7 linked regions of the Macaca fascicularis genome follow. The protein of the gene in region 7 interacts with the protein of the main gene of each other region in a pairwise test. Links are inferred from orthologs where the notes say so. Each region holds a gene or a part of one and is shown on either strand. Other genes may lie near its edges.

What was found.
Region 1: the proteins of DISC1 (region 7) and DMD interact in a two-hybrid assay, tested with the Homo sapiens proteins (2 studies listed by BioGRID and IntAct). The link is inferred for Macaca fascicularis from reciprocal best matches to the Homo sapiens genes DISC1 and DMD.
Region 2: the proteins of DISC1 (region 7) and PAFAH1B1 interact in a two-hybrid assay, tested with the Homo sapiens proteins (2 studies listed by BioGRID and IntAct). The link is inferred for Macaca fascicularis from reciprocal best matches to the Homo sapiens genes DISC1 and PAFAH1B1.
Region 3: the proteins of DISC1 (region 7) and RNF40 interact in binary tests that used the Homo sapiens proteins (3 or more experiments, as listed by UniProt). The link is inferred for Macaca fascicularis from reciprocal best matches to the Homo sapiens genes DISC1 and RNF40.
Region 4: the proteins of DISC1 (region 7) and tubulin beta-2A chain interact in a two-hybrid assay, tested with the Homo sapiens proteins (2 studies listed by BioGRID and IntAct). The link is inferred for Macaca fascicularis from reciprocal best matches to the Homo sapiens genes DISC1 and TUBB2A.
Region 5: the proteins of DISC1 (region 7) and TNIK interact in binary tests that used the Homo sapiens proteins (3 or more experiments, as listed by UniProt). The link is inferred for Macaca fascicularis from reciprocal best matches to the Homo sapiens genes DISC1 and TNIK.
Region 6: the proteins of DISC1 (region 7) and TRAF3IP1 interact in binary tests that used the Homo sapiens proteins (3 or more experiments, as listed by UniProt). The link is inferred for Macaca fascicularis from reciprocal best matches to the Homo sapiens genes DISC1 and TRAF3IP1.

Annotation. Positions count from the first base shown.
Region 1 is NC_088395.1:33,307,148-33,311,284, reverse strand, and holds the start of DMD (dystrophin), read left to right. Parts: upstream 1-1,337; 5' UTR 1,338-1,573; coding exon 1,574-1,604; intron 1,605-4,137. UniProt on the Homo sapiens protein: Anchors the extracellular matrix to the cytoskeleton via F-actin. Ligand for dystroglycan.
Region 2 is NC_088390.1:2,806,446-2,809,945, forward strand, and holds part of PAFAH1B1 (platelet-activating factor acetylhydrolase IB subunit alpha), read left to right. Parts: intron 1-2,756; coding exon 2,757-2,913; intron 2,914-3,500. UniProt on the Homo sapiens protein: Regulatory subunit (beta subunit) of the cytosolic type I platelet-activating factor (PAF) acetylhydrolase (PAF-AH (I)), an enzyme that catalyzes the hydrolyze of the acetyl group at the sn-2 position of PAF and its analogs and participates in PAF inactivation.
Region 3 is NC_088394.1:28,931,132-28,935,346, forward strand, and holds the start of RNF40 (E3 ubiquitin-protein ligase BRE1B), read left to right. Parts: upstream 1-1,415; 5' UTR 1,416-1,502; intron 1,503-1,578; 5' UTR 1,579-1,649; coding exon 1,650-1,781; exon of another isoform or gene 1,782-2,091; intron 2,092-2,211; coding exon 2,212-2,379; intron 2,380-2,511; coding exon 2,512-2,653; intron 2,654-3,285; coding exon 3,286-3,492; intron 3,493-4,045; coding exon 4,046-4,167; intron 4,168-4,215. Other genes in the region: CFAP119 (cilia- and flagella-associated protein 119), read right to left, coding at 312-343, 661-864.
Region 4 is NC_088378.1:169,917,117-169,921,367, forward strand, and holds the start of tubulin beta-2A chain, read left to right. Parts: upstream 1-1,451; 5' UTR 1,452-1,532; coding exon 1,533-1,589; intron 1,590-2,855; coding exon 2,856-2,964; intron 2,965-3,272; coding exon 3,273-3,383; intron 3,384-4,083; coding exon 4,084-4,251. UniProt on the Homo sapiens protein: Tubulin is the major constituent of microtubules, a cylinder consisting of laterally associated linear protofilaments composed of alpha- and beta-tubulin heterodimers.
Region 5 is NC_088376.1:82,933,349-82,937,289, reverse strand, and holds the start of TNIK (TRAF2 and NCK-interacting protein kinase), read left to right. Parts: upstream 1-1,141; 5' UTR 1,142-1,456; coding exon 1,457-1,513; intron 1,514-3,941. UniProt on the Homo sapiens protein: Serine/threonine kinase that acts as an essential activator of the Wnt signaling pathway. Recruited to promoters of Wnt target genes and required to activate their expression. May act by phosphorylating TCF4/TCF7L2.
Region 6 is NC_088386.1:134,242,586-134,246,085, forward strand, and holds part of TRAF3IP1 (TRAF3-interacting protein 1), read left to right. Parts: intron 1-2,055; coding exon 2,056-2,199; intron 2,200-2,295; coding exon 2,296-2,712; intron 2,713-3,500.
Region 7 is NC_088375.1:17,082,038-17,085,537, reverse strand, and holds part of DISC1 (disrupted in schizophrenia 1 protein), read left to right. Parts: intron 1-830; coding exon 831-1,107; intron 1,108-3,500. UniProt on the Homo sapiens protein: Involved in the regulation of multiple aspects of embryonic and adult neurogenesis. Required for neural progenitor proliferation in the ventrical/subventrical zone during embryonic brain development and in the adult dentate gyrus of the hippocampus.

The sequences.
Region 1 (4,137 bases), on a different chromosome or scaffold from region 7:
GCCCCACAACAATTGTTTTCATTTTTTTCATTTTGTTTTATGAAAATTTTGCTTATATGCATATTTAGACAACCACACAGAGGAAAGGAGGTGACCTAGGGAAAAGAATGTTTTCAATTAAAATTAAGCCTTATGTTTTATCTCATACACATTTTGCTGGGGAAAATAGCCATGTTATGACAATAATATTCTAAAACGCAAAATGTATAATTAACTATTAAGGTAAACATCACAGTCTGACTCTATAATTTTTTTTTATTTTTGTCTATTACTCATTTCAGTCGCAAGCAGTTGAATGTTTGACATAGAAAAATGAGTCTGTCACTTTAACAAATGGTACAATAAAAACACTCAAACAAAAATTTTAGTAGGGATTATTATAACTATAAAAAGAATATCTTTCTTTAAAAAATGCTACCAATGTTTTCTATCAATTTGGGGCTCGCCTGTTGCATAAAAGTAATAAGGAACAAGATGAAGAAGACTTCTATTGGCAAAGAATGATTTACATGCTGAATGACATAATACAACTGCATTCACTTAATACAGAAAAAAAAGAGCCTGCATTCAGAACCATTAAATGATCATTAACTCAATGTCTAAGAAAATGGTGTTTTAAGAATTGGCAGCAGAGAAATGGAAGAAAGAATAATTTGTTAGTAAAGAAGTTTTATCATAATTCACAACTGAAATTTAGGATTTGAGAAAAATGTCTTTGCTCCATTATAAGAATATTCTTTATTTTAGCAGGAAAACATGTCCCATGAGACCTACACACACATTCTGCCTTCAGAATTCAGCTGCTGTGTTCTGCTGCTGCTTCTCTTATTCAGACTGTTGGCATCATCAATACATGACTTTTGCAATCAAAAATCTCAAGGGGAAAAAATAACTTTGGTAGGCAGTGGATACATAACAAATGCATAGATTATTCTGGGCATTTCTTTTTATTTGGTAGAGTGAAATTTTTGGTGTTGTTGAGAGGATAAAAAAGGCATTTAAAAGTCAATTTTAAATCGGGATTTTCTGCTCTGTTATAAATTCACATGAAAGTTACAGAAAATATTGTTATGGTTTTGTACTGAATAGTTTTTGTGTTTGGAAGGCTTTAAAAGCTAGTACTATGTCCACTGTGCTATTCTGGTTTGGATATTAATCAGAACACAGTTGAGCATTATTTGAATTCACAGAGCTTGCCATGCTGGAAGCACAACCTTATATGTAGTGACCATGGACAGTCCTATTATGGGAAACCAACTTGAGAGAGAAGGCGGGTCACTTGCTTGTGCGCAGGTCCTGGAATTTGAAATATCCAGGGGCCTCTACAGAATCCTGGCATCAGTTACTGTGTTGACTCACTCAGTGTTGGGATCACTCACTTTCCCCCTACGGGACTCAGATCTTAGAGGCAATTACCTTCAGAGAAAAATGAATAGGAAAAACTGAAGTGTTATTTTTTTAAAGCTGCTGAAGTTTGTTGGTTTCTCATTGTTTTTAAGCCTACTGGAGCAATAAAGTTTGAAGAACCTTTACCAGGTTTTTTTAATCGCTGCCTTGATATACACTTTTCAAAATGCTTTGGTGGGAAGAAGTAGAGGACTGTTGTAAGTACAAAGTAACTAAAAATGTATTTTACTGTGGCATAATGTTTAGTTTGTGACAAACTCACTAATTAGGTAGATTGATTTTAAATTATCACAGTAGTTTGCAAAGAAGCATAAATGTTATATATACTGCATATATATATGTATTTATTCAGGAATATATATTTTTCATTGGGAAAACTTTTCAATAGAAATTGAGTTTATAAGTTTTTCTTTGCAGAAGAATTAAACACATGATTTCTTGATTAATAAGCCACTGCAGTAATAGAATATGCAGAATGTCATTTGATTATAACAGATTATTTTGATTGCTGTGAGATAGTTTGTATATCTCAGTTATTATTTTGACTAGTTGATACTTCTGTATTTAGTAACAGTTACATAAAGGTTACTGACCTGACATATATTCTCAATTGAACTAACTACTGTATAGGAACTACATGGAGGCCTAAAAGTTAGGAGAAGTTTCTCTGACATATGGAGAAAATAAAGAATAAAATGAGTTGGGATGGAAAATTGAAGGATGTGAAAAGTATTGATAAAGATTTAATTGTAATGTTGCTTTCTCACATTTACTATTTCAAATGCTCTTTTCTATAGCATACCATGATGATTATTTCAAATAATGATGTGATCTATGCTATCAAATGATCAGATGATCTCTTGGGAAAACAACATACAAACTTGAGGAACTCCTAATTATGTTTAGTAGTAAATTATATTTAGTAGATGTTTCAAGTCTATCATGAGCTAGCTTTTCAGTTCAATTTTTTAGTTTGTCTTCCATATAGAAATGCAACTATTTTGTTTATTTTTAAGAAAGTCATGATGACTATTGAAGGATTTAAAAATGGACTGTGGCACAACAGTAAAAATAATATATGATAAGGACTGTGTGTCCCAAAAAGATGGGAGTTTATCTCTTCCCCACCTATCTTTGACTTGTGGAGTATAGTTATTCTAAAATAGATATGAGAGCGATGCCTATAATTAAGAATGAAAAAATAAGTCTCTCCAAATAAGTAATGCTCCACAACTACTAAAAAAAAAAAAAAAAAAGGCAGACGTTTTACCACTGTGAAAAATTTGTGGAAATAAGTTAACATTGTCCATGTATTGAGTCACATTAAAAGCTACCAGATTTTATAATACAACATTTAGTTACATTGTTTGCTTGCTTCATAAATTTCTTTTGGTGAGTATCATTATTGCTTTTAGATTGAAAAACTATTATATTTACTATCATTACAAAAATATGCATGGCATATATCTGTTGTTTGCAATATACACATATACACATATTTTTATTTATCATTTTTATTTCTTTGATATATGTAATATAAATACTATCAAAATCGCTAGTGATTTTATATATATATATATATTCTATATAATTAACCACATATACCAGTATATAGAGCAATTTTGAAAGAATATATGCAATTCTGCTGGAATGAAGCAAGGTAAACCTATCCTCTGCTTTGTCATAGATAGTTGAAAAACTTTCAGTTCTTCGAATGTGAAGGAAGGTAATCTTTTTGGAACATGTCCTGTAGGATTTTTTCACACTGCATTTAAAAAATCATCAAGTAATGCCTATGCAACATGACAATGAGTTTGTTAAGGAAAATGGAGATATACTCAGGGCTATATTATACATTAAATTTTGTTGCTTGACAATATACTACTATTTGGATGTCTGACATTTGAATCTGGTTTGTAAATTCGCCTTAGTTTGAAAAACTTATAAAAGTACATTTTGTTTTTTAAACAGAATAGTTACTCTGTAAAAGAGATCACTGTATTGTCAAACACATTGTATTGTTTACTTTTAGAATTACTCAAATAATGCATTGTAAAGAATTATTCAAATAGTGTATGGCAAATAGATATTTCATTTGAATATATTTAAATGATGTAAGTCATCTTGAGGTCTAACAAAATCATCTTTTAGAATTTCATTTGCAGAATCTTTTAAAGACATCTTAACTATGAAAAAGAGATCGCTGATCTAAATTGATGATATACTGTTAATACAAAGTTTTGGTGTATCTTACATGGCATAACATTATGAAAAATACAACAGAGTATGTCATATAGATGTTATTCTAAACTTTAAAAAAGACTACAAAGTGTTTTATGCATAATTACATTATTTAAGGGGAAATAGGTGTTGGTTGACACTTCTAGCTAGACAGTACTGAATTGCAAATTCATCATTTGGGCAGAGATATTAATACAGCTTCCTCTTTATTCCTATAGCATTCATTTGAAATCCCTGTACTCCACGTCATTTGCTATATATGAAACAAATTGTCAAGTTTTTAACCACTTGTGTAGTTTAATAAAAGAGATTAAAATCATTGCCTTGGAAACATCAGGTGTTTTTCAAAATTCTATTTTATTATCTTTCATCAAAATTTTATCTCAAGAGTAAAACAAACTGATTTCCCAAACTTTCCTTCTCCTCCCACTTTCTATTGTAATATTTTCCTAACTTATTAAAAATGATTTATCATACTCTTTCATCAAT
Region 2 (3,500 bases), on a different chromosome or scaffold from region 7:
TACAAAAAACTAGCCGGGCGTGGTGGCGGGCGCCTGTAGTCCCAGCTACTTGGGAGGCTGAGGCAGGAGAATGGCGTGAGCCCGGGAGGCGGAGCTTGCAGTGAGCCGAGATCACGCCACTGCACTCCAGCCTGGGAGACATAGCGAGACTCCGTCTCAAAAAAAAAAAAAAAATAAAATAAAATAAAATAAATCTGGCCAGGTGCAGTGGCTTATGCCTGCAATCCCAGCACTTTTGGAGGCTGAGGCAGGTGGATCACCTGAGGTCAGGAGTTCAGGGCCAGCCTGGCCAACGTTGTGAAACCCCGTCTCTACTAAAATTACAAAAATTAGTCGGGCGTAGCTGGGTGCGGTGGCTCATGCCTGTAATTCCAGCACTTTGGGAGGCCGAGATGGGCGGATCACCTGAGGTCAGGAGTTCAAGACCAGCCTGACCAACATGGAGGAACCCCGTCTCTCCTAAAAATACAAAATTAGCCGGGCTTGGTGGCGCATGCCTTCAATCCCAGCTACTCGGGAAGGCTGAGGAAGGCGAATCACTTTAACCTAGGAGGCGGAGGTTGCGGTGAGCCAAGATCAGGCCATTGTACTCCAGCCTGGGCAATAAGAGCAAAATTCTGTCTCAAAAAAAGAAGAAAAAAAGCCGGGCATGGTGGTGCATGTCTGTAATCCCAGCTACTCGGGAGGCTGAGGCATGAGAATTGTTTGCACCTGGGAGATGGAGGTTGCGGTGAGCCGAGATCGCACCATGGCATACCAGCCTGGGCAATAAAGCAAGACTCTCTTAAAAAAGAAAGAAAAACATACTCTTGGCCAGACACAGTGGCTCACGCCTATAATCCCAGGACTTTGGGAGGCAAAGGCAGGAGGAGCCCAGGAGTTTGAAGACTAGCTTGGGCACCGTAATGAGGCCCTGTCTGTACCAAAATAAAAATTTTAAAATTAGTTATGCATGATGGTGCATGCCTATAGTCCTAGCTACTTGGGAGGCTAAAGCAGGAGGATTACTTGAACCCAGGAATTTGAGGCTTTAGTGAGCTGTGATCATGCCACTATACTCCAGCCGGGGCAACAGAGAGAGTTGCTGTCTCTTTTTAAAACAAAACAAAACTTTGCAATGCTGTGCTATAACCGCACTATCCAGCATGGTAACTGCTAGCCACGTGCAGCTGTTATACTCTTGAAATGTGGCTAGTGAGACTGAAGAACTGAATTGTTGGTTGTATGTAATCTTAACTATTATATATTAAAGTAGGCATACATGGGCCGGGCGCGGTGGCTCAAACCTGTAATCCCAGTACTTTGGGAGGCCGAGATGGGCGGATCACGAGGTCAGGAGATTGAGACCATCCTGGCTAACCCGGTGAAACCCCGTCTCTACTAAAAAATACAAAAAACTAGCCGGGCGAGGTAGCAGGCGCCTGTAATCCCAGCTACTCGGGAGGCTGAGGCAGGAGAATGGCGTGAACCTGGGAGGCGGAGCTTGCAGTGAGCTGAGATCCGGCCACTGCACTCCAGCCTGGGCGACAGAGTGAGACTCCGTCTCAAAAAAAAAAAAAAAAAGGCGTACATGGACAGTAGCTACCATGTTCAACTGTGCAGTTCTAAGCCTTTTTCTTAAATTAATGTGTAGATGAATGTGCTGTTTTTTATAAAAATGGTATACTCCTTAATGTAGCTTTGTAGCAAACCTTTAATTTAGAAAGTATGTGATCCTTGCTCGTGTTGTTAGATGCTCTTCTTGTACATTGATCTACAGACAGTGCTTTGCAAACATCTTTGTTAACTGAATCTCTGGGCATGTGCTTAAAGATAAATTGCAAGAACGGAACTGCTGCGACGGGAAATACGGATGGATGGATGGATGGATGGATGATTGGATGCATGGATGGATGGATACATGGATGGATGGATGATTAGATGGATGGATGGATGGACGCATGCATGCATGGATGGATGGATGATTAGATGGATGGATGGATGGATGGATGAATGATTGGATAGATGGATGGATGCATGGATGGATGGATGATTAGATGGATGGATGGACGCATGCATGCATGGAGGGATGGATGGATGGATGGATGGATGATTAGATGGATGGATGATTGGATGGATGGTTGGATGGATGGATGGATGGATGAATGGATGGATGGATGGATACATGGATGGATGATTAGATGGATGGATGATTACATGGATGGATACATGGATTATTGGAGGATGGATGGATGGATGATTGGATGGATGATTGGATGGATGGATGGATATATAGTGAATGCCTGTATATCCTTCACCTAGTTAACATGTTTCCTTCATGTATGTGTGTATATTTTGCTGAAATCATTTGAGAGTTCCTTGGAGACATCGTACACTTTACCCCCAAGTATTTTAGCATGAACCACCTAGGAACAAGGATAGTATATAAATAACCACAATAAAATTAATCACACTCAAGAAATTTACCATTGATAGACTACATATTCAGATTTGTTCTTGTTATTTCCATAATGCCCTGCGTGACTTCTCTTTAACCCTCATCCAGGACCCAGTCAAGGATCATACATTATATTTGCTGGTCATGTCTTACGAGTTTTCAGTTTCCTTTAATCTAGAATTCCCTAGACTTTTATTTTCTTTTGGTCTTTTGGTGTCTTTTGATGTTTTTGGTATGTATAGTTTTATCATATTATTAAATAGATGCTATTTAAACATTTTGTCCTTTCACTAAGTCAAGTAACTTTTTTGTTTTTAAGGTGGGTCATGATAACTGGGTACGTGGAGTTCTGTTCCATTCTGGGGGGAAGTTTATTTTGAGTTGTGCTGATGACAAGACCCTGCGCGTGTGGGATTACAAGAACAAGCGATGCATGAAGACCCTCAATGCGCATGAACACTTTGTTACCTCCTTGGGTATGTACGCCTCGTGACGTCTCTGACATTAGATTTTGGAGTGCCAGACGTAACAGTGTTTTACATGATCATGTGAACTTTGCCAGGTAAGAAATGACCATGTGCTTTCAGAGCAGAATAGAGAAGACAGATGAAAATTTTGTGGATTCCTACCATTTGTTTTAAATTCTCCTTTCCTGGCCGGGCGCGGTGGCTCAAGCCTGTAATCCCAGCACTTTGGGAGGCCGAGGCGGGCGGATCACAAGGTCAGGAGATCGAGACCACAGTGAAACCCCGTCTCTACTAAAAATACAAAAAACTAGCCGGGCGAGGTGGCGGGCGCCTGTAGTCCCAGCTACTCAGGAGGCTGAGGCAGGAGAATGGCGGGAACCCGGGAGGCGGAGCTTGCAGTGAGCCGAGATCGCGCCACTGCACTCCAGCCTGGGCAACAGCGGGAGACTCCGTCTCAAAAAAAAAATAAATAAAATAAAATAAATAAATAAATAAATAAATAAATTCTCCTTTCCTTAACTCTTTGTATCGTTAGCCTTATAATAAAAACATTACTTTCTGCACTGCACAACATTGGTTTTGGAAACCAGAGTTTA
Region 3 (4,215 bases), on a different chromosome or scaffold from region 7:
CTACCTTGTATGACCTTGGTCAAATCCCCCCTGTGGCCCTCAGTGTCCCCCTCTGTACAATACTCCATAGCAGTCATGAGACTCCCTTTACATCCTGTCTTTGGCTCTTTTTTTCTCACACTGTCTCCTCTTTGGATTGGGGATGCTGGAAAGCTGGCTTCCAGTCACCTGGAGTAATTGCATCTCTGGGCCTCAGTCTCCTCATCTGTAAAAATGGGGATGCCCTGGCCACAGACAGGACTGTTGGGGAGGCAATAAAGGAAGAACGCAAATATTCAGTGTAACTCTTCCCCAAGTCTCTTCACACTCACCACATGCAGATCCGGGGTCGGGGCAGCGGCGGCTGCGGAAAGAAAGCGAATTGGGGAAGGCAGCTGTGGTGTCCTGGCCGTCGCGAATCTGCAGCGGGCCCCAGAACTCGCTGTAACTTGCCATCTCATCTCAACGACTAAGAAGGAGAGGCGCGGGCGAGGGCGGGCTTCAGGAGGCCCTAGGTGCTCTATGCGAGCACAATAACCACCAGGGTCACACACCCCTGCCTCTCCTTGCCCAGGCAGCGCGGGAGACGTCCCGAACGTTAGTAAGCATAATGACGATTGGTGCCTGCGGGGGAGCCCGTTTATAAATATTCACGAGCGGACCAGACTGTCCCGCCCTCACCGGGAACAAGTTGGCTCCGGGGTCTTCATCCGCTTTCGCCGCCGCCGCCGCCGTCGACTGGGTCCGCACACTCGCTCGCGTCCGCGCGGCCGACCCACGCGCTGAGATGCGATCCTTCCCCGCTTCCCGCCGCAGCTCGGAGAGATGTTCAAGTTCCGACTGCACCCTCATTCCCAAAAAGTGGCTGGTCTTGCGGTTGAGCATCTCGCCGCTCTTCCGTGCCGCGGCGCGCCCCGGGCTCCCGCCGCCTCGGTTCCAGGACAGCCAGCGCTCGGTCTGAGGCTACCAAGGCCGGGCCCGCTAGCCTTGCTCCGGCCAATCTGCGCGCCGAGAGGCGCGGCGGAGCGAATCCGTGGGGGCGTCTCCCTCCGTCTCAACGGCGACGGTTGCCAAGGGGGCTTGTGAAGGAATGAAGGCGGGAAACGCAAGCTCACGCCAGTGGGTGCGAAGAGAACGCGCAGATACGTAAGAAGTTGCGAGTGCCCACCTGAGCACCCTCTCTTCCAAGTTGTTAATACGAGGGCCGGCGCTGTCCTCAAGGCCGGGAAGTGGGAGCTTGGTGTCAGTTACTATGGGAACTGCCTCTTGGCCAATCACCGAGAGAAAGAGAAGGTGTTTGGGAAGAAGCCAGAGGACCCGAGAGGCGGGACCAAGCGTAACCAATAGAAGCAGAAGATAATGAAGTTTCCTCACATCCGGGGCTGCCTCCGGCGCCTGCGCCCTGCGCACCGTTGGGGGGGCCAGCAACGTCCAGTGACGTCCGGTGAAATCCAAGATGGCGGCGCTAGGCTGACCCTGTTGCTGGTGAGGGCTCTGGCGCCGGCGGGGACGGGATCCAGCAGGTGTGTGCGGGGTGGAGGGTGTTTGGGGCTGTGGAACACCAGCCGTTCCCACATCTCTGCTCTCTGTCTTCTGCAGGTGACGGAAGTACCGCCTCCTCCCGTCTGACGCCCCTCAGGGGACCCTGCGCCGCTCCAGCCGCCGCGGCCATGTCTGGGCTAGGCAACAAACGCGCCGCCGGCGACGGGGGCTCAGGGCCCCCGGAGAAGAAGCTGAGTCGTGAGGAGAAGACCACCACCACTCTTATCGAGCCCATTCGTCTTGGAGGCATCTCTTCCACGGTTCTTGGGCTCTTGCCTTAACCCTCAGAATTTCCCAGAGCCCTCCCTCTGTTCCCTGGCCAAATTGTCCAGAATCTTACACCCACTTCCCCAAGTTTAGCAAGGTCCGCGTTACAGGATACTCTGTTGAAAGAAGCCGAGAACACGACGCCTGTCTTCCCTTTACAGATAGGAAAACAGGTTCCCAGGGGGCGTGTGACTTGTCAAAGACTAAGGAGTTAGAAGGGGACAGGCAGAAACAACGTGAGCCTCCTCACAACCAAGACACTTTCGCTGTGGGTTGTGTGAGCCTCCTTAGATTCTGTTAGCGGTTAGTGTGGGAATACCCCCATCTCCCATGCATTCCAGATGCTCTGCTCCTCTCTTTCTGTGTGATTGGTTTCTGGGCTCTGCTTGATATTCTCGTCGGCCCCTTTGTTTCCTTTGGTAGGAGGAGATGGACCTGAAGGTACTACAGTTCAAGAACAAAAAACTGGCAGAGCGGCTGGAACAACGGCAGGCTTGTGAAGATGAACTCCGAGAACGAATTGAGAAGTTGGAGAAGCGGCAGGCCACAGATGATGCCACACTCCTCATCGTCAATCGCTACTGGGCCCAGGTGGATGCCTTCTGCTTTCCAAGACCAGGCCTTGATTCAGCTGCCAATCCCCAGATTCCCCTGCTGGAAAAGGGGTATAATGTTGGAAAGCATTAAGGGATTCATAACATTTTTGATGCTTTCTCCTTCCAGCTGGATGAAACTGTGGAAGCCCTTCTCCGATGCCATGAGGGCCAGGGGGAGCTGTCTTCAGCGCCTGAAGCACCTGGGACCCAGGAGGGGCCCACATGTGATGGGACTCCTCTCCCAGAGCCGGGGACATCAGAGCTGAGGGGTGAGACCAGAGTTCTGGGATCTAGGGAGCTTCAGTTCTGGGAAAAGTCCTGGGGAGGAGGGGACTTTGGTGTTGGGCCTCTGAATTGCCTGCCTTACTACTCCCCACGAAATGGATTTCATGTTTGGGTGGTAAAGTGCAGTGCACAAAAATACAGGCTTTGGACTCTGACTAACTTGGTTTATAGAGCAATTCATGTTTTGACACCCATTTGTTTGGAAACAGTATTACGGTTGAGTGTTAACTATGTATTTGACGCTTTCTAGAAATGGGTACTTGCTCATTGCATTTGCTATGAGGGAGGAAATTACAAACATAGTAAGCAGAAAGTACTGGGGCTCTTGAAAGGGAATAATTGTGTGTGCACATGTGTGTGTGTGTGAGATTCTAATTTTTATTGGGAAAGTACAGGAGGCATCTCTGAGGATGTGATACGCAACTCTGTAGCTTTGAGGAAATTACTTTACCTCCCTGAACCTCATTTGTCTCACTTTCAGGATGGAGATAATAGTGCACTATAGGTTGTGTTGATTAAGTGAGCCATGAATATTGAAGGGCTCAGTCTGGAACTTAGTACAGAGTGGTGGTAACTGCTGCTATTATCCTCATGAGGGTCTGTCCATTCCTTCCAGAGCCCTTGCCATTGCAGCTGCGGCCCCCTCTCAGTGAGCCGGCCTTGGCTTTTGTGGTGGCACTGGGTGCCAGCAGCAGTGAGGAGGTGGAGCTGGAGCTGCAAGGCCGAATGGAGTTCTCTAAGGCAGCTGTGTCTCATGTGGTAGAGGCCTCAGACCGCCTACAGCGCCGGGTGGAGGAACTCTGTCAGCGAGTGTATAGCCGAGGTGGGTTCTTTGTGCCCATACCCAAGAGGTGTCCATCCCTACCTGCATCTTGATGGCACCCCTTTCCAATTCCCCTAATGCCCAAGTCCAAGGGTGGCCAGAATTCCCCAAGGAATATATCAGCCACGTTCTTGGGAGGGGTAGGTTAGGCTGTAGATGGGGGTTCCAACTTTGATTCCTGGACTGAATGCTAGAGAGATGGGTTGGAGGAGCTGTTGATGCTAGTAGAGCCTCCTGTCCAGAGGCCCCTCTGGAGCACTTTGTGTGGGTTGCAGATCCACAAGGCATAGCTTCAAGGGCTCAGGCCTTGTAGGTTGACAGGCTTCTCCCACTTCAGTTCTGCCACCCTCACCTGGACGTGCTGGGAAAGTGGCTCCCCTCTCTGAGCTGGTTTCCTCCTCTGTGCAGTGGAGATAAAGACTCCTAGCTTTGTCATGAGAAATTGGCAAGACAGCCGGGGGATCACACTGGGCACATAGCAGACTCCAGAATGAGTTAGTTCTTTGCCCCATTGCCCTGAGCTGGACTCTTAACCTGGGCCCTGCTTTCCCAGGGGACAGTGAGCCCCTCAGTGAGGTGGCTCGGGCACGCACCCGAGAGCTGGGCCGTGAGAACCGGCGACTGCAGGACTTGGCCACCCAGCTGCAGGAGAAACACCACCGCATCTCATTGGAGGTGAGGAGCCAGGGGCTTTGGGAGTGGGATTAGAATCAGGCAGGATTT
Region 4 (4,251 bases), on a different chromosome or scaffold from region 7:
TTATATAGTCGGAATGTGCTGGGAACCAAAGGCAGTCCCCAGGCCCCTGTTACCTAGTCCACTGTGCAGGGCCATCTTTGTGAATAATTAAGACTAGTCCTTACCACAGCCCACCCAAGCCTTTAAAACTCACCTGGGCTTTCTCTTTGTACAAAGACTTTAGATTCCTTCCTTTACTAGCTTTGTGACTGGTCAGGTCTTTCAGCCTCGCTTTCCGAGCTATGAAATTGGGGTAGTAATAATGCTTACCCCAAGCCAGTGGTAGTCAACAAAAATATGCATAAGTGAGCAGCAAATGGAAACCAAGTATGTAATTTTATATTTTCTAATCTCAAAACAAGTCATTTAACACAATGTATCCAAAACACTATTATTTTGATAGATCAATATTTAAGAATCAATAATGAAATATTTCACATTATTTTAACTTACTGAGCCCATAAAATCCAGTGTATACTTCACACTTAACAGCACATCTCAGTTCAGACTACCTACGTTTCAATGTTCGGCAGCCACCATGCCTAGGGTCTACGGAACTGGACAGCCTAGCTCCGAAAGCTTCCCTGAGGATCAGGTGACCTAAGGGGTGTAAGGGGCAGGGCCATCAGCTGACACATCAACGTGGCAGATATATTCCTCCTGTCTTTCCTCTCTGACACACACACACACACACACACACACACCCGCAGAATTTTCCACATTTAAAAGGCCTTTACAAGGACGCAGGAGCCCAAAGCAGACATGTGACAAATCCAGCCCTTTTCTAGACCCCCCAACTCCCACCCCAGACCAAGCCATCTTCCTTCCCTGTAGGGGCGAAAGGGCGCCCACCCTGCCATCCTGCCATTCCTTTCAGGCAGCTGCCCGTCGGCTCCCCGGGGCTCCACACTCCTCTCCACGCTGCCCACCGCCTCCCAACGGCGCCCTGGCCCCTGCCCAGGATGCGGGAAACCTTTGCTACCCGCTGGAGAGCCCAGTGCAAATGGGTCTTCAATTTCCAGTTCCCCACTCCAAAGGGTACTCGACACCTCTCCCCGCCCCCTAGGAGGCGAGGACCCTGTTCCGAGGCAGCCCCTCCCCCTGGTTCCGGGGCCCCGGTCTCCAGCCCTCCTTGAGGGTCCAGAGTGGGCGGGGCGGGGTGGGGACTGCGGCGTAAGCGAGGAACCCAGTCCCAGGGGTCGCCCGCGCCCGTGGATCCGGCAGGGGGCTGCGGCGGGGTCCGAGGTCCGGGCACCGCGGTGACCGCGGGACAGCGGGGCCGGCGGCCCACCCCAGACCCAGCGGCAGCCGCAACGGGCCGAGCGCCCCCACACCTCGCACCGCGCCCCGGCTCCCCCTCGCGGTGCCGCAGTCCCAGCCGCACCACCCCCGCGGCCGCAGCCCCGCCCGTCATGACGTCACCGGGCAGGGCGGGTCCCCGGGTATAAAAGACGGAGCTGGGGGGCGGCGGCAGGTCTCCGCGCAGCTAAGCCCGCCTGTCCACGCCGCGCACCGCTCCGAGGGCCAGCGCCACCCGCTCAGCAGCCGGCACCATGCGCGAGATCGTGCACATCCAGGCGGGCCAGTGCGGCAACCAGATCGGCGCCAAGGTGGGTGCGCTGCCGCGGAGGGACCTGGGGTGGGGACCGAGGGTGCGGGCTGGGGCTGGGGCTGGGGCTGGGGCCGGGGCGGGGGCGGGAGGCCGCGGCGACCCCGGGCTGGCTGGGTGGCACATTCCGCGGCGAGGCCGCCGGGCGGGGCCCGGGAGGCTGCATGACCCGTCAGGATGCCCGCAGCGCCGCAGCTGTGCGTGCGTTTAATCCGGGCCCTTTCGATTTCCCTGGGACACAGCCCTTCTGAGGGACGCGGTTGGCATTCCGCTGGGTGTATTTGTCTCAGAAGCTTGGGTCGGGGCTACGGTCACATTTATTGCGCTAGCTTCATATGAATTTAATTTGTGTATTTATCTCTACGGTTTGAATGAAAACATGCAGTGTCACTGGACTGACAGATGTAACAGAGGCTTCCCTTTGGGTCGTACAGGCGAGGGTGTTAGATAAATTTCCTTGCTCGGGCACTGTCTTGACATGATCACATACAACGCGATAGTTTTGCTGCCAGTCCCCGAGGCGGCAGGTGACTGCGCTGGGCGGGGGCTGCAATTACTGACCGCTGTGTGGGAGGCAGCAGAGGGCCTGGTGCATGAGTGGGGGCGGGAGCCAGTACAAGGACGTGGTCTCTTTGAGAACCGCCATGTTGCCCACCCAGCCTCCCCGCCCCCTCCCTGCCGCAAATTCACAATGGAGCCAGCGCCCTCACCATGGCCAGCTCCTTCCACTGCCGCCCAGGTGCCCTCCCAGGCTCCTGATGCCCTTCGCCCAGTCCCTCCGGTGGTCAGTGCTAGCATTAAACCTGCACTGTTGCAGGGGTGCCTGGGATCTGTGCCAAGAGAGCTTGATCCCTGGAGGCAGACACAGGGTGGGTCCCCCTGTCCTTGGTCCTGCCACGACCCATCAATCATCCCGGATGCAGTGGCATTCAGCCCTGCCTGGGGTGACAGAGCCTCCCTGTACCCCTTCTCGATTTCTCTACCCTCCCCACACTCTCCCTAGAAGGGCATCTGCTGTGCCCCCTCCTCCTCCAGGGCCCCTCCCAGCCTTTCAGTCTATCGCCATAATATGGCCGATGCTCTGCAGATTTTCAAGCCCCTCAGCAGCGGCTGCTGCAGGAAATAGGGGGTGCAGCTCTTTGCTCTCTGTCTAGCACTTACTGTCTGACCACAAAAGCCCCTGTTCCAAGGACATGGGAGGAGGACAAGGCCATCCTTAGTGACATTCAGGATGCAGAGCCATGGTGTGGTTCTTGTTTCATTTCAGTTTTGGGAGGTCATCAGTGATGAGCATGGGATCGACCCCACAGGCAGTTACCATGGAGACAGTGACTTGCAGCTGGAGAGAATCAACGTGTACTACAATGAGGCTGCTGGTGAGTAGCGGGATGTGTGTGCCCAGGAATCCTTGTTTTCCATGATGTGGGAGATGAAATGTCCTAGGAACATGCACGTGACAAAGGCATGCTTCTTGCATATTCATTTCAAATGCCAACTGCTGGAAAAACACGCTTTATGGTTTCCTAAGAGTCCTGCCTGTTTGCCACAGTTAAGCACGCTCAGGACCTCCTTTTTCTTAAAAGCAGAAAATCTCCTGTTCTCCTTTTGTCTCAGATGCTGGAATTGAATGCTGCTGTGAGTCCATCCCTAAGCACAGGTCTGAGTCAGTTCTTGTTTCCTGCAGGTAATAAATACGTACCTCGGGCCATCCTGGTGGATCTGGAGCCTGGCACCATGGACTCCGTCAGGTCTGGACCCTTCGGCCAGATCTTCAGGCCAGACAACTTCGTGTTTGGTATGTAGTCATGATCACTGGGAACTGGCCAAATGACACCTTCTTCCTAACAGCCCTGCAAAGCACAGTTCGTAGTGTTCAGTGCTGAGGTGACACTGTGTCCACGGCAGCCCTGAGTCCTGGCCTAGCTCCATGCAGTCCATGGGCGGTCATGGCTCACAGATCAACGCCAGCCTGCAGAGGGCTGCCGCAGCTCTTCCATTGCAGAGCAGCCTCAGACTGGAAGGAAGAAAGAGCAAGGAAAAGCTTCAAGCCAGGCTTCATAGGCTATAGGCAACTTCAAAGGACTTCAAAGAGTCAGGGGCCAAAAGCACAGGTTATGACCGGAGCTAGACAGATGCTGAGGCCACCTTCTCTCCTAGTCACACTGCTTTCACCTTGCCTGTTTAATTGTACTTGAGTATAAAGAGAATGCCTGTTAAAAATGTATGTATTTCAGAACCAATTAAGTTTTCTAACCCTATCCTCTTCCTCAGTAAATAGCCTCCGATGAGCTAAACTTACTTCTTAACTTTATTATGATCCCCAGTGTTTTTGAGGTCGCTGACACAGAAAAATATTTCTTCAGGTAAAAGAAGAGTATTCAAAAGAGAAGAATCTGCCAGTCTAAGACCAGTCCTACCTTCTCCTCCATAGTCAAAATGACAGATTTTGAAATTCCTTATGTTTTAGTGTCTAATGTTCACTTTCCCTCTGGCAGGCCAGAGCGGAGCTGGGAATAACTGGGCCAAGGGCCACTACACAGAGGGAGCCGAGCTGGTCGACTCGGTCCTGGACGTGGTGAGGAAGGAGTCAGAGAGCTGTGACTGTCTCCAGGGCTTCCAGCTGACCCACTCTCTGGGGGGCGGCACCGGGTCCGGGATGGGCA
Region 5 (3,941 bases), on a different chromosome or scaffold from region 7:
TGTATGTATTTTGCGTGGCTAAGGCGGGAGAAGAAGGGCTGCGCGGGGATTGGGGGAAGCGACTTCGCACTCTTCATTACAGAAAAAGGATCATGTATACCACTGTAAAACATCCAACCTTTAAATGAGAAAGTGGGTGAAGTGAAATCGCTCTCACGTACACATATTCCGCGTTACTTCTTATCCGCCAGCCAAACTTTCTCCATCAATCTGGGTAGGTCTGACACGAAAATGCAGCCTGAAAGAAATGCTGAGTCCTGAGGCGGCGTGTGTTGCCTCACCCAGTGCTGGCTTTGGAGTTACCTGAAGCCTTCTAGCTACTGCACCCAAAGAACAAGCTTCTCGGTTCAACTCGGTTGTTTCCGTGGGGAATTGCGGCACGAGCAGGTACTGGGTGTGGCGATGCCAAGAGAGCGCTCAGATCTCCCATCTTTCCCGCTTCTGGCAAACCTTCCCGGTCCCGAATCGGCGAGTGACCAGCACCCGGGACCCGCCGTCCCGCATTCCGGGGACCGCGGTTGGACCCGACCCCGCCGCAGCTGCAAACTGCCGAAGCGCCCAGCTGAGTGCACTGTGCGTGTGCGCTTCTCCCCCACTCTTTCCGCGCCTGGAGGCGGATCCCCTTCCTTGCACACAAGTCCTTATATGCACCGATTGCACCAGCCCGCTTTACTCCGGCCCCACAAATAATTAACAGGGGAGGGAGGGTGTCGCTTTTTTTTCCTCCGGCTTTTTCTCAGCGGGAGAGCATTTGAACCGAGGAGAAACCCCAAGATGAGACTGAAGGGCCATTTTGCTGCAGTGCACGAATTGGCCACACAAAAATACAGCTTGGGTCCCTATGATAAGCAAGTCAAGGTTCAGGAACAGCCCTTCGGATTTGGCCCCAGGAGCCCTCAAAAGCCTGGGCGGAAAGGGTGCGCGCCCCTCCCCCCTCCACGCTGGCGGGGAGGGACCGGGTCAGGAAGCGCGGCCTCTCCCCAGTCCAAGACCACGCCTCCTCCGCCTCCCCCCCACCCCCTTCACTCCTCCCAGGAAGCGGTGATAGACAGTTCTGTGTGGTTCTCCACCCCCACCCTCCCCCCGCTGAGTGGAGGAGTTGATGTGTCTCATTATAACAGCCAATGCAGCCGCCATCCACGCACAAGCAAAGAAGCATGTCCCATTTAAATACACCCACGCAGCCCCAGCGCCCTTAGCCGATCGGGGCGCTCAGCCCACACGCACCGCTGCTCCGGGCTTGGAGATCCGCGCAGGTTGGGCTCCCGGACCCGGCGGACCGACGCGCGGAGGATCGGGATCCGGCGCTGTGGGGCTGGGGTGGGCGGGGGAGGCTGGGCCCGGGGCCTCTGGCGCGATACCCGCATGAGGACGCGAGTGAAATAGACCAAGGTGGAATTTCCAAGGGAAAAGCTTGGGGGTGGTTTTGGTCCATTTCTCCAGCGAAGAAGTAGACATGGCGAGCGACTCCCCGGCTCGAAGCCTGGATGAAATAGATCTCTCGGCTCTGAGGGTGAGCAGGACATGTTTTCTGGTTTCTTTCCAGTGGTTTGGGTCAGGGTGAATGGGCTCGGTGCGTGGACTGGGGGCAGGGGCTGGGGCTGGGGGACAGCAGCGGGAGAATGCGTCGGGGAGGGAACCTGGATTCCCGTTTTGATTCGGGGTTGCTGAGGTGCTCCCGGCTGAGCCCCTACGGCAGGGGCTGTGCGGTACGTGTCTTCCTTTGGCCGTGGCCGAGGCTCTCCCGAGGGCTCGTGGAGCTCGTGGAGCTTATGCTTTCATCTTATACCGGTGTAAGAGCAGTAAAATGAAAGGTGTGTGTGTGTGTTGGTGTGTACGTGTGTACACGCCCCGGGCAGTTGTCTGGTGCCAAGGAGCGAGACCCAACTGTCCCTTCTGCAAAAAGAATGCCAGCGTGAATAAAGGCACTGGCTCCTCACGTTTTCCAGCTACCTGCAAGATGACATTGTGAGGCTGACTGTCCCCGCGAAGCCGAACCTGCCGCTCCAAGGGGGCAGTTATTGCTATGCTTGTCTTGTAGATGGCAACTGTCTCCCCCTCCCCCTTTTCTGCCTCCCGCACCCGGGCGCCCTCTCAGCGCTCCCTTAAATGCCAGTCTGCCACTCACCTTTATTTATGGCTTTAACTCAGCCCTGCCTGTGCTTTCTGACTTTGTGGCTGTAACGTTTCAGTTTTATGGCTGAACTTAAGCAGGTGAAAGGGATGTGTTTTCTGCTTTTCCTCAATCAGACCGGAACTCCCTGGAGTGTGTGCGAGTGTGTGTGTGTGTGTATGTGTGTTTTCCCCGTGTCTGTGGCCGGTCCTTTGTAGAGCACCTCCCTCCCCCCAGCCCCACTGGTTTGCGTTTACCTTCACGTGAATTACCTCAGACGCCGTTTCATTGTATTGACTAAGACATCACTGATACAGAATCCATTTTGCTGTTGTTTTGAGATCAGAATACCAGGAATCCCAGTGCTGCCTTGACGCTTCCCCACCCCCAACTCCCGATCCCAACACACTCCTTCGGGGAAGGGGGCAGAGCTTTCTTGTCATTTTAATTAGATGCTGCCTGCTGGGAAGGGGTGAGGGGTGGGGATGGTGGCAGCAGCGGGTGTCTGAGAAGGATTGGACACCAATTTAAGGACTGCTTCTTCCTCTCCCGAACCAAAAATAAAATTTAAAAAATAGCGAGTGCATGTACTTGATGTATGGAGGGTGGATGAGAAGGAATTGATGGTGGCTTTCTACAGGGAGACACCAGGATGGATGAAGTATGGAAGTTCACACGCCCTCCTGAGGAATACATTGTTAGATTGATGCTGAATCTTGGGGCCATTTACCTGGATTCCTAGTACTTCTGACATTGCCTCTTTCTGTACTGTTATATTAAAGTGCTACCTTTGTGATCAAAGTGGTACTTTCTCTTTGGTCTCCTTAATTAAACCTTTTCCTCCACATCTCTTTTAATAACGCTTTCTCTCTTCGTCTTAATCTGTTGGGCCAAGAGGTGAGGCTTCAGCAAGGCAGGTAAGGAGTTGAGAAGAAACAGAGATGCCGTTTGAAATGGGCTGTTCTGATAGTTGGGCAGCCGAAGCTCCTTCATGCATTATTACAGGAAGCTGTCTATTTCCCTGGAGTGGAAATGCCACATCAAGAACCGGCTGCCCCCTGCGCAGCGGGGTGGGGTTGGTAACAGGGTGGGTGCATTGGCCAGGTCTGTGGCTTCCTGCTTTACCGACTGTGTGTGTTCATTTGCCCTACTTTCTGCGCTGGGAGTTGCTGCCGGCGGGTTAATCAGGTGGATGGATGGCCCAGACTGGGGGTGGGGTGCTGCGAGTCGGTCGGGGGTCGGGGTGGCGGAGGCGGGGGGCAGTGGCAAAGGGGGAAAGGTTCTGAACAATGTGCAGGGTTTGCGGTGATTTCCCTGGGCCGGAATCTCCACCTTGCTCCTCTACTGGAAAGCAGTCTGATGTGATTTTTAAGTTGGGCCCGGACTTGTCCCTTGTGGGCTTTTTCCTCGGGAAGGTTTTCTGAGATACCAAGCACAGAGCCTGCAGGCACGAGAGCAACCGCTGAGGGCCACCGGGCGGATGACTGCGGATCACACTTGGGGTGTGCATTCTTGTGATCTGTATTTTGAAAACATATCTTTGCACAATGCACTGAAATTGCTCTTTGTGGCCTGGGCTATCAGCTTAGGGCTCTGCTGCTGTTTTTCTGCCTGCTGGGAGGTGTGGAAACAGAGAGGGCAACAGCTAGCTTGGGGACCAGGAACTGCTGGCTAGAAGACTTAGATGCAGATGCAGATGTGGAGACAGTTGCAGATGTGGGGCCAGGGTCTTTGACCAGTCTTGTGGGTGAGGTGTGCCTGCTGGAGTGGGTCCAAAGGCCACATAGGTAATCTCCACAAATCAGAGGGCAGATCATCTCCACCTTCC
Region 6 (3,500 bases), on a different chromosome or scaffold from region 7:
CCAAACGTTGGAGAAGGTCTTTCCCCAGGGTCTTCCTTCTTTTGAAGGCCGAGTGGTCCCCCATGGAGGAGCAGGTTGGACTTGTATTGAGAGTATGATTAATACAGTTTTTCACATACCTAGTGGGTGGTTGGCTGGGGGCTAACCTTAAATGTGACCCAAATGGGAACAGGTAGGTTTCAGCCCCCTCAACAGCAGTGGGTCGTGGAGGTGCATAGTGGTGTCAGACTGACTCCTAGGAGGCCCCCCCGGTGCAGGTCCAGCATACAAACTTAGAGACTTGGAAGCAGATTTTGCCAGTACACTGGCCTCTGTGCCTAGACTCCCCAGCTCCCCTTCCCGGGTCCTTTATGTTGCTCGTCTTTTTAAAAAGCACATCTGGCTCCTATCTCCTTTGCTGAATCTTCTCCGGCTTCCAGTAGCCTTGGGGCCGAGCCAGCTCCATGGCACAGCTTGTGAGCCCCCTAGAGACCTGCTGCTACTTCTTTCCCTTCAGATCCTTCTCTCATTTCCCACACCTGAGCCCTCCACTCCAGTCACCATGCACCCTTGCATTCAGCCCTGGCCTGCTGTCTCCCGTCAGCCTCTTGCCCTGGTGCCTGTTGGCTTCTTGGTGCCTGAGCTGCTTTCCTCCTCCAGCCTCACCCAGCAGCAATGTGGCGTCTGTGAGCGCTTCCTTGAGCCTGGGCCTCTCCTCCCTCCCAGGCCGACTTAGGTGCCCCTGTAGGCTTCCTATAGCCTGTTGTTTAATTGTTGTGTTTGTCTGTGTCCCCAGTACATGGTGTGTCTTCGGCCTAAATGGAGCCTGGCATGTGGCAGTCACTCAGCGTGTGCTTGTGGAATGAGTGCGTTGAGTGAGTGGGACTCCTGACTGGAGGTGTCCTACACTCTGGGTGGCTGTCAGGGATGCTGGAGAAGGAATTTCTGCATTTGACGGGGCTTGAATTAGATCAGTTTTTCCCCCCATAATTTTATTATTATGTTAAAATCCCTATAACATAAAATTTGTCATCTTAAGCATGTTGAAGTGTACACTTCAGTGCTGGTAAATTCAGTCATGTGCAGCCATCACCACCTTCCATCTCCAGGACTCTTCTTGCAAAACAGACTCTGTCCCCATGAAACACTAACTTCCTCTTCTCCTGTCCCCCGCCCCTGGCATCCTTCATTGTACTTTCTGTCTCTATGAATCTGACTACTCTAGGGACCTCGGATAAGTGGAGTCATAGAGTGTCCTTTTTTTGACTGGCTTATTTCACTTAATATAACATTCTCAAGATTTATCCATGTTGTGGCATGTATCAGAATTTCATCCCTTTTTAGGGCTGAATAATATTCCATTGTGATGGATATACCATATTTTGTTTATCCACTCAACTGTCAATGGTACAGTTTGCTCCCATGTTTTAGCTATTATGAATAATGCTGCTATGAACATGGATATACAAATATCTCTTCAAGACCCTGTTTTCCATTTTTTTGGATAAATACCCAGAAGGGGAATTATTGGGTCATATGGTAAATCTGTGCTTAATTTTTTGAGGAACTGTTATACTGTTTTCCATAATGGCTGTATCATTTTACATTTCCATCAACAGTGCATGAGAGTTTTAATTTCTCCTTATCCTTGCCAATGCTTGTTGTTTTGTGTTTTTTTAGGAGCAGCATCCTAATGGGTGTGAGGTGGTTAGATAAAATCTTAAGGCACTTATGGCTGGGATTCTACGATCCCATTAGAAGTTTAAGGCATGGGTCAGCTTTATTGACCTTGAACACACACATTCACATTTGACAGCTTGGGTAGACTTGAACCAGGATTCATTTAGCTTGGGTGGATGCTACTGTTAATGACCAAAGTGCTGAAAGTAATAGTTATCAAGATATGCTGTGCTTTGTATGTGATAATAACATGTTCAAAAAATATTTTATCCTTTGAATTTCATTGTAGACAGAGAATCTGTCTCATGAGCTATCTTTCAATGGCGATGTTCTATTTGTTACGTGTGCGGATCTCATTTCACCTAACACCTCATTTCCTTCCATTTGGACGACAAGCTCTCCAGTGACGATGCGGTACGGAGGGTTTTAGCTGGAGAGAAAGGAGAAGTGAAAGGCCGGGCCTCACTGACCTCAAGATCTCAGGAATTGGATAATAAGAATGTGCGAGAAGAGGAGTCCAGAGTTCACAAAAATACAGAGGTGAATTGCAAGTCGCACATCTTTGAAAATGAAATAGTGAGTCTTTTTGTAGTTTAGGTAAAAACGTTCATAAATGATTTTATTTTTATTTCGTAGGATAGAGGAGACTCTGAAATAAAAGAGAGAAGTACAAGCAGAGATCGAAAACAGAAAGAAGAATTGAAAGAAGACAGCAAGCCAAGAGAAAAGGACAAGGACAAGGGGAAGGCCAAGGAGAATGGCGGAAACAGACACAGAGAAGGGGAGAGAGAGAGACCCAAAGCCCGGGCCAGGCCAGACAGCGAGCGACAGAAAGACAGAGGCAACAGGGAGCGGGACAGAGACTCCGAGCGTGAGAAGGAGACAGACAGAAAGAGTGAGGGGGGAAGAGAGAAGGAGAGACTGAGAGACAGGGACCGAGAGCGCGACCGAGACAAAGGGAAGGACAGGGACAGACGGAGAGTGAAAAACGGGGAGCACTCCCGGGACCTGGACAGGGAGAAGAACAGAGAGCATGACAAACCTGAGAAAAAGGTAAAGTCTTCCTGAAAACCTCGCCTTTTGCTTAGCAAGAGTTTGTGGTGGCCTCAAACATGATTTTTATCTTTCTTACAGTGTGACTAGGAAACTGGTTTTCTTTTATGCCTATTTAAAATTACGACAATCTTGGATTCTCAATAGAAACCCAAAGAGATACTTATTTCTTGTCAGTTGTGTTTTGGGTGTTTTTGGTTCATCCCTTAATAGAAGTTTATTGTTCAGCCAATCATTTATTAAGGCATTATTCAGTGAGTTTTTAACCATTTCCTACTTCATGTCTAGGGAGACGTCTGCTGGATTATAAGCTCCCTAAGAGCATAAGCCAGAGATTTCACTCATGTTCACTGTTGGATACCCAGTCTGGTAGAGTGTCTGACACACAGCAGCTTTGCAGTAAATACCTGGTGGTGGAATGGATTGAGCATCCAGGCAAGGGGTGATGGGCTTTTCAGATCAGGAAACATTGGATGAAATTGATCAATTGATAGTGGTTTCTGAGGTCTCCCTTTATGGAATTTTGATCTGGGAGTGGTAGAAGATAATTTGAAGGGGGAAGTCAGGAAAATATTATTAAATGCTTGCTCTTTTTAGAGTTTAATGATTCCCCACCAGGCCTGTAGAGAAATCAGCGTTTTTCAGAGTTTGAGCTGATTTGCCACGTTGCTCTTGTCCTTGTCTCGCAGGTGTTTTAAGATGTGTGGCTTCTCCCGTGCGTGTCGTTTGTGTCGTTTGTGTCACTCTCAGTATTGCTCTGAAGGCTTTGGAGCAGCCTCCACCTTAGC
Region 7 (3,500 bases):
GGCTCTTCCCACTTCGTTCTGCAATTCTCCTTCCTGGCACCATGTGAGGAAGGTGCCTGGCTTCCCCTTCACCTTCTGCCATGATTGTCAGTTTCCTGAGGCCTCCCCAGCCACGCTGAACTGCGAGTCAATTAAACCTCTTTCCTTTATAAATTAACCAGTCTTGGGCAGTTCTTTTTAGCAGAATGAAAACAGACTAACACAAAGAGTCTAGCAATAGAGTGGAGAACAACATAGTTACAAGCCCTGCCCTCAGGTAAAACAAAACAATAATCACATAAATAATTAGAATTGTGATAAATATTCTGAAATAAAAGTAAAAAATGCTAAGAGATCCATCATATTTTCCAGTTGGAAGGCAGGGAATGTTTCTCCCAAAAAGGTTATTTAAGCCGAGTTCTGAAGATAATATGATGTAGTCAGATGAAGGCCTGGGTGTATGTGTGTTGGTGGGGAATGGACGGAGAGAGATGATCTAGCCTGGAAGAGTTGGACAGGTCTGAGGATTCAAAGCAAGACAGTAGGGCTGGAAACACAGATATGAGCAGAAACTGTGTTGTATTGGGCTGCTGAGTCTGGAAAAATACATAGGATTTTGGATGCCTTTGCAGACCAAGCAGCTAAGGACCAATACGTTTCATGGTGACTTGATGGTGTACAAATGTGGTCCCTCTGATACGTCTTCTAGTTGAAGTAATTTATCACTGTGAAATTAAGTCATCAAGTATAAGATGACTGGCTGACTTTTAGCCTGGTAGACAAGCTATTGACCTGGTATGATGAAACATCACTGAGTTTATTTTTATGCCTTTGTTTCCTCTCTGTCTCAGCTGCAAGTGTCCACTGCTTGGGAAAGTGTGGGAAGCTGACTTGGAAGCTTGTCGATTGCTTATGCAGAGCCTACAACTCCAGGAAGCCAGGGGAAGCCTGTCTGTAGAAGATGAGAGGCAGATGGATGCCTTAGAGGGAGCTGTTTGTATAGCTGCTCCTCCCATTACCCCCAGGCTCCACTCCGAGGATAAAAGGAAGACCCCTTTGCAGGCATTGGAAGAATGGAAGGCTCACCTCATCCCCTCTCTGTACTGTGCTGGAGGCGAACAGAAAGAGGTCTGTCCTTTCCACATGGTCTCTAGAGGGGACCCCTATTCTAAGGGGTGCTTTGGGACCAGGCTCCAAATGGGAACAATATATATTGGGAGGGCTTCCCATTGAGCATATAAACTTTTAAAAGTTTCAGTAGCTTCAATATGATTACAAAATAATGTAGAATTTTTGTCAAAGTTTGAAATATAGAAGAGCAAAAAAACCCAACTTTTGGCATATTTAGTTCCATTTTCATTCTAATTTAGTGGCTAGAATTAGAATATGCAGTCTAATATAGAATTACCATATATAGCATACATTATATATGTCATATATAACATAGTTATCATATACACTATAGATTATATATGCCATACATGATATTTGACATATATACTATACATTATATACCATGTATCATATGATATTTAATTATATATTTAGAATCTATATATTACAATATATTATTATTTATTTGAATGAAACATTCAAATATATGTATTTATCCCATTAATTGTTTTTACCAAAACCAGATCGTAATGAATATTTATAATGTTCTTCTTTCATAAACACAACTAAAGTTTGGCCTGAGATATATGTATTAGAAATTAAAATATGGTTTTATTTAACTTTACTTTTCTCTCCCCTCTTTCCTCTCTCCCTTCCCCTTCCTCTTCTCACTTTCCTCCTCCCGCCGTAACAAGAGTCTTTTCCATAAAAAGGCCCTGGGAAGTTTTTCCTGATTTCAGTGCCATGACCTGAGTCTTCAGAGCTCTTTGTTGGCCCAGGTTCCCAGGTGTTCTGAGTGTGAAAAGGAAATAGCATAGAGAGGCTGGAGGAACGTGACACATGGCCTTCAAGTCTCATGGTTGATGTTAGATGTTAGCTGTGCTTCCTCCCTGGGTCTTTGCCAGGACTCACCACTGGTGGGTGAGGAAATTGTTACCTCCCCAGGCCAGCCCTGGCAGCCTCACATCCCTTCTGCAGGACCATGACCTTCAAAGAGCAGACATTTGTGTTCTTAGTCACTGCCTCTGGACTGCTTGGAAAATTGATCCTTGATCCTATATTTGGATTCCATGGTCTTATAAGAAAGCAACCATTGTCACTCTGCATCCTTGCTGGCCCAATCACAGGCTCTACTATAATTTATAGACATCTGACCTCTTTTGTTAACCCAGTTGCTGCAGGTGGAATCCTCCAGCAAAGCCTGGTTTCCAGTGCTCTGGGTAGAGGTGTTGAAAAGTTACCACGTGCTGCAGGTGGATGGTTTGAAAGAATATTCTGGGATGGAGGGAAGTGCCACCTAAGCAAGGGTTTATTCCCGGGTGGAAGAAACTGCAGGCTCCGGAAATGAGTCTTTGAAGGTGTGGCTGGCTTTTCAAAGTGAGCTTCCGGGAGGAGCTCAGTGTGGGGCAGTCAGAAGCCATGCCAGGTATGTGATGGAGTCCATGGGTCATTGATTCTGCTGGAGGCCAGGACTGATTCAGCAGAGATCCCTTACTCCTGTAGGGGAGAAAAATCATTATCTTTCCTTTATGCATCTAAAGGTTCTCAGCTGAGGCCCCTATGCAGACAGAGTAACAAGAGAAAAATGTGCAAATTTGCTTTATATAAAATTTACATGACACAGGAGGCTGCAGAAATGAAGACCCAAAGCAACAGAAACCAGTGTATTTTTATGCTTAAGTTTGAAGAATAGCAGACAGATGTGGAGAAGTATAATTGGACAAAAGGAATAGGATCTAATGGCAATAAACTGCGGGGAGCTTAGCAAGGCCTGTTTGCTCAGATTCTTCACTGCATCCCTGTGTCTTCAGAGATAAGGACACTCCTTTCCTTTGGGTATAGGTTGTACACTTTAAGGATGAGGGTGGTCAGCGATGGTTAGAGGAAGGTCAGAGAATTATCTATGGCCTGCTTCAGGAGAGAATGGCTGTAGAAGGTCAGAGAGACTCCTGCTTCTGCTGTTCCTCAAATGCCAAGGTGCCATATTTTGGGGTAGTGCATTCTGAACCCCATCACTCTCTTCCTCCCTCTCTCCCCGCTTCTCCGCCCTTCCCACTGAGCCCTGAGCCCTCTAGGCTCTCTGAGGACAGACTTTCCCAGGCATAGGAGGATTCATTTTCCTGCATAAGATTATAAGCACCTGTCAATTTCACTATCTGGCTATAAGAACACAGAGCTATATTTGTTGAAAAATAGGAAGCTTGGGGTCAAGGATGAATAAAGAGTGGAACCTTATCCTAGGTCCTGTGGTGGCTGCTGTTTGGGTGCTCCAGGGGTCCCCCAGAAAGCCTCCCAGATCCTCTCCACCAACTGAAATGCTGAGGATGTCCTATATTTATTTGTTGCCGTCTTAGGGGAGAGTGGGTGCTTTAGAGGGGACCTTATAGCTTTTGCTGGCTTTCGCTATC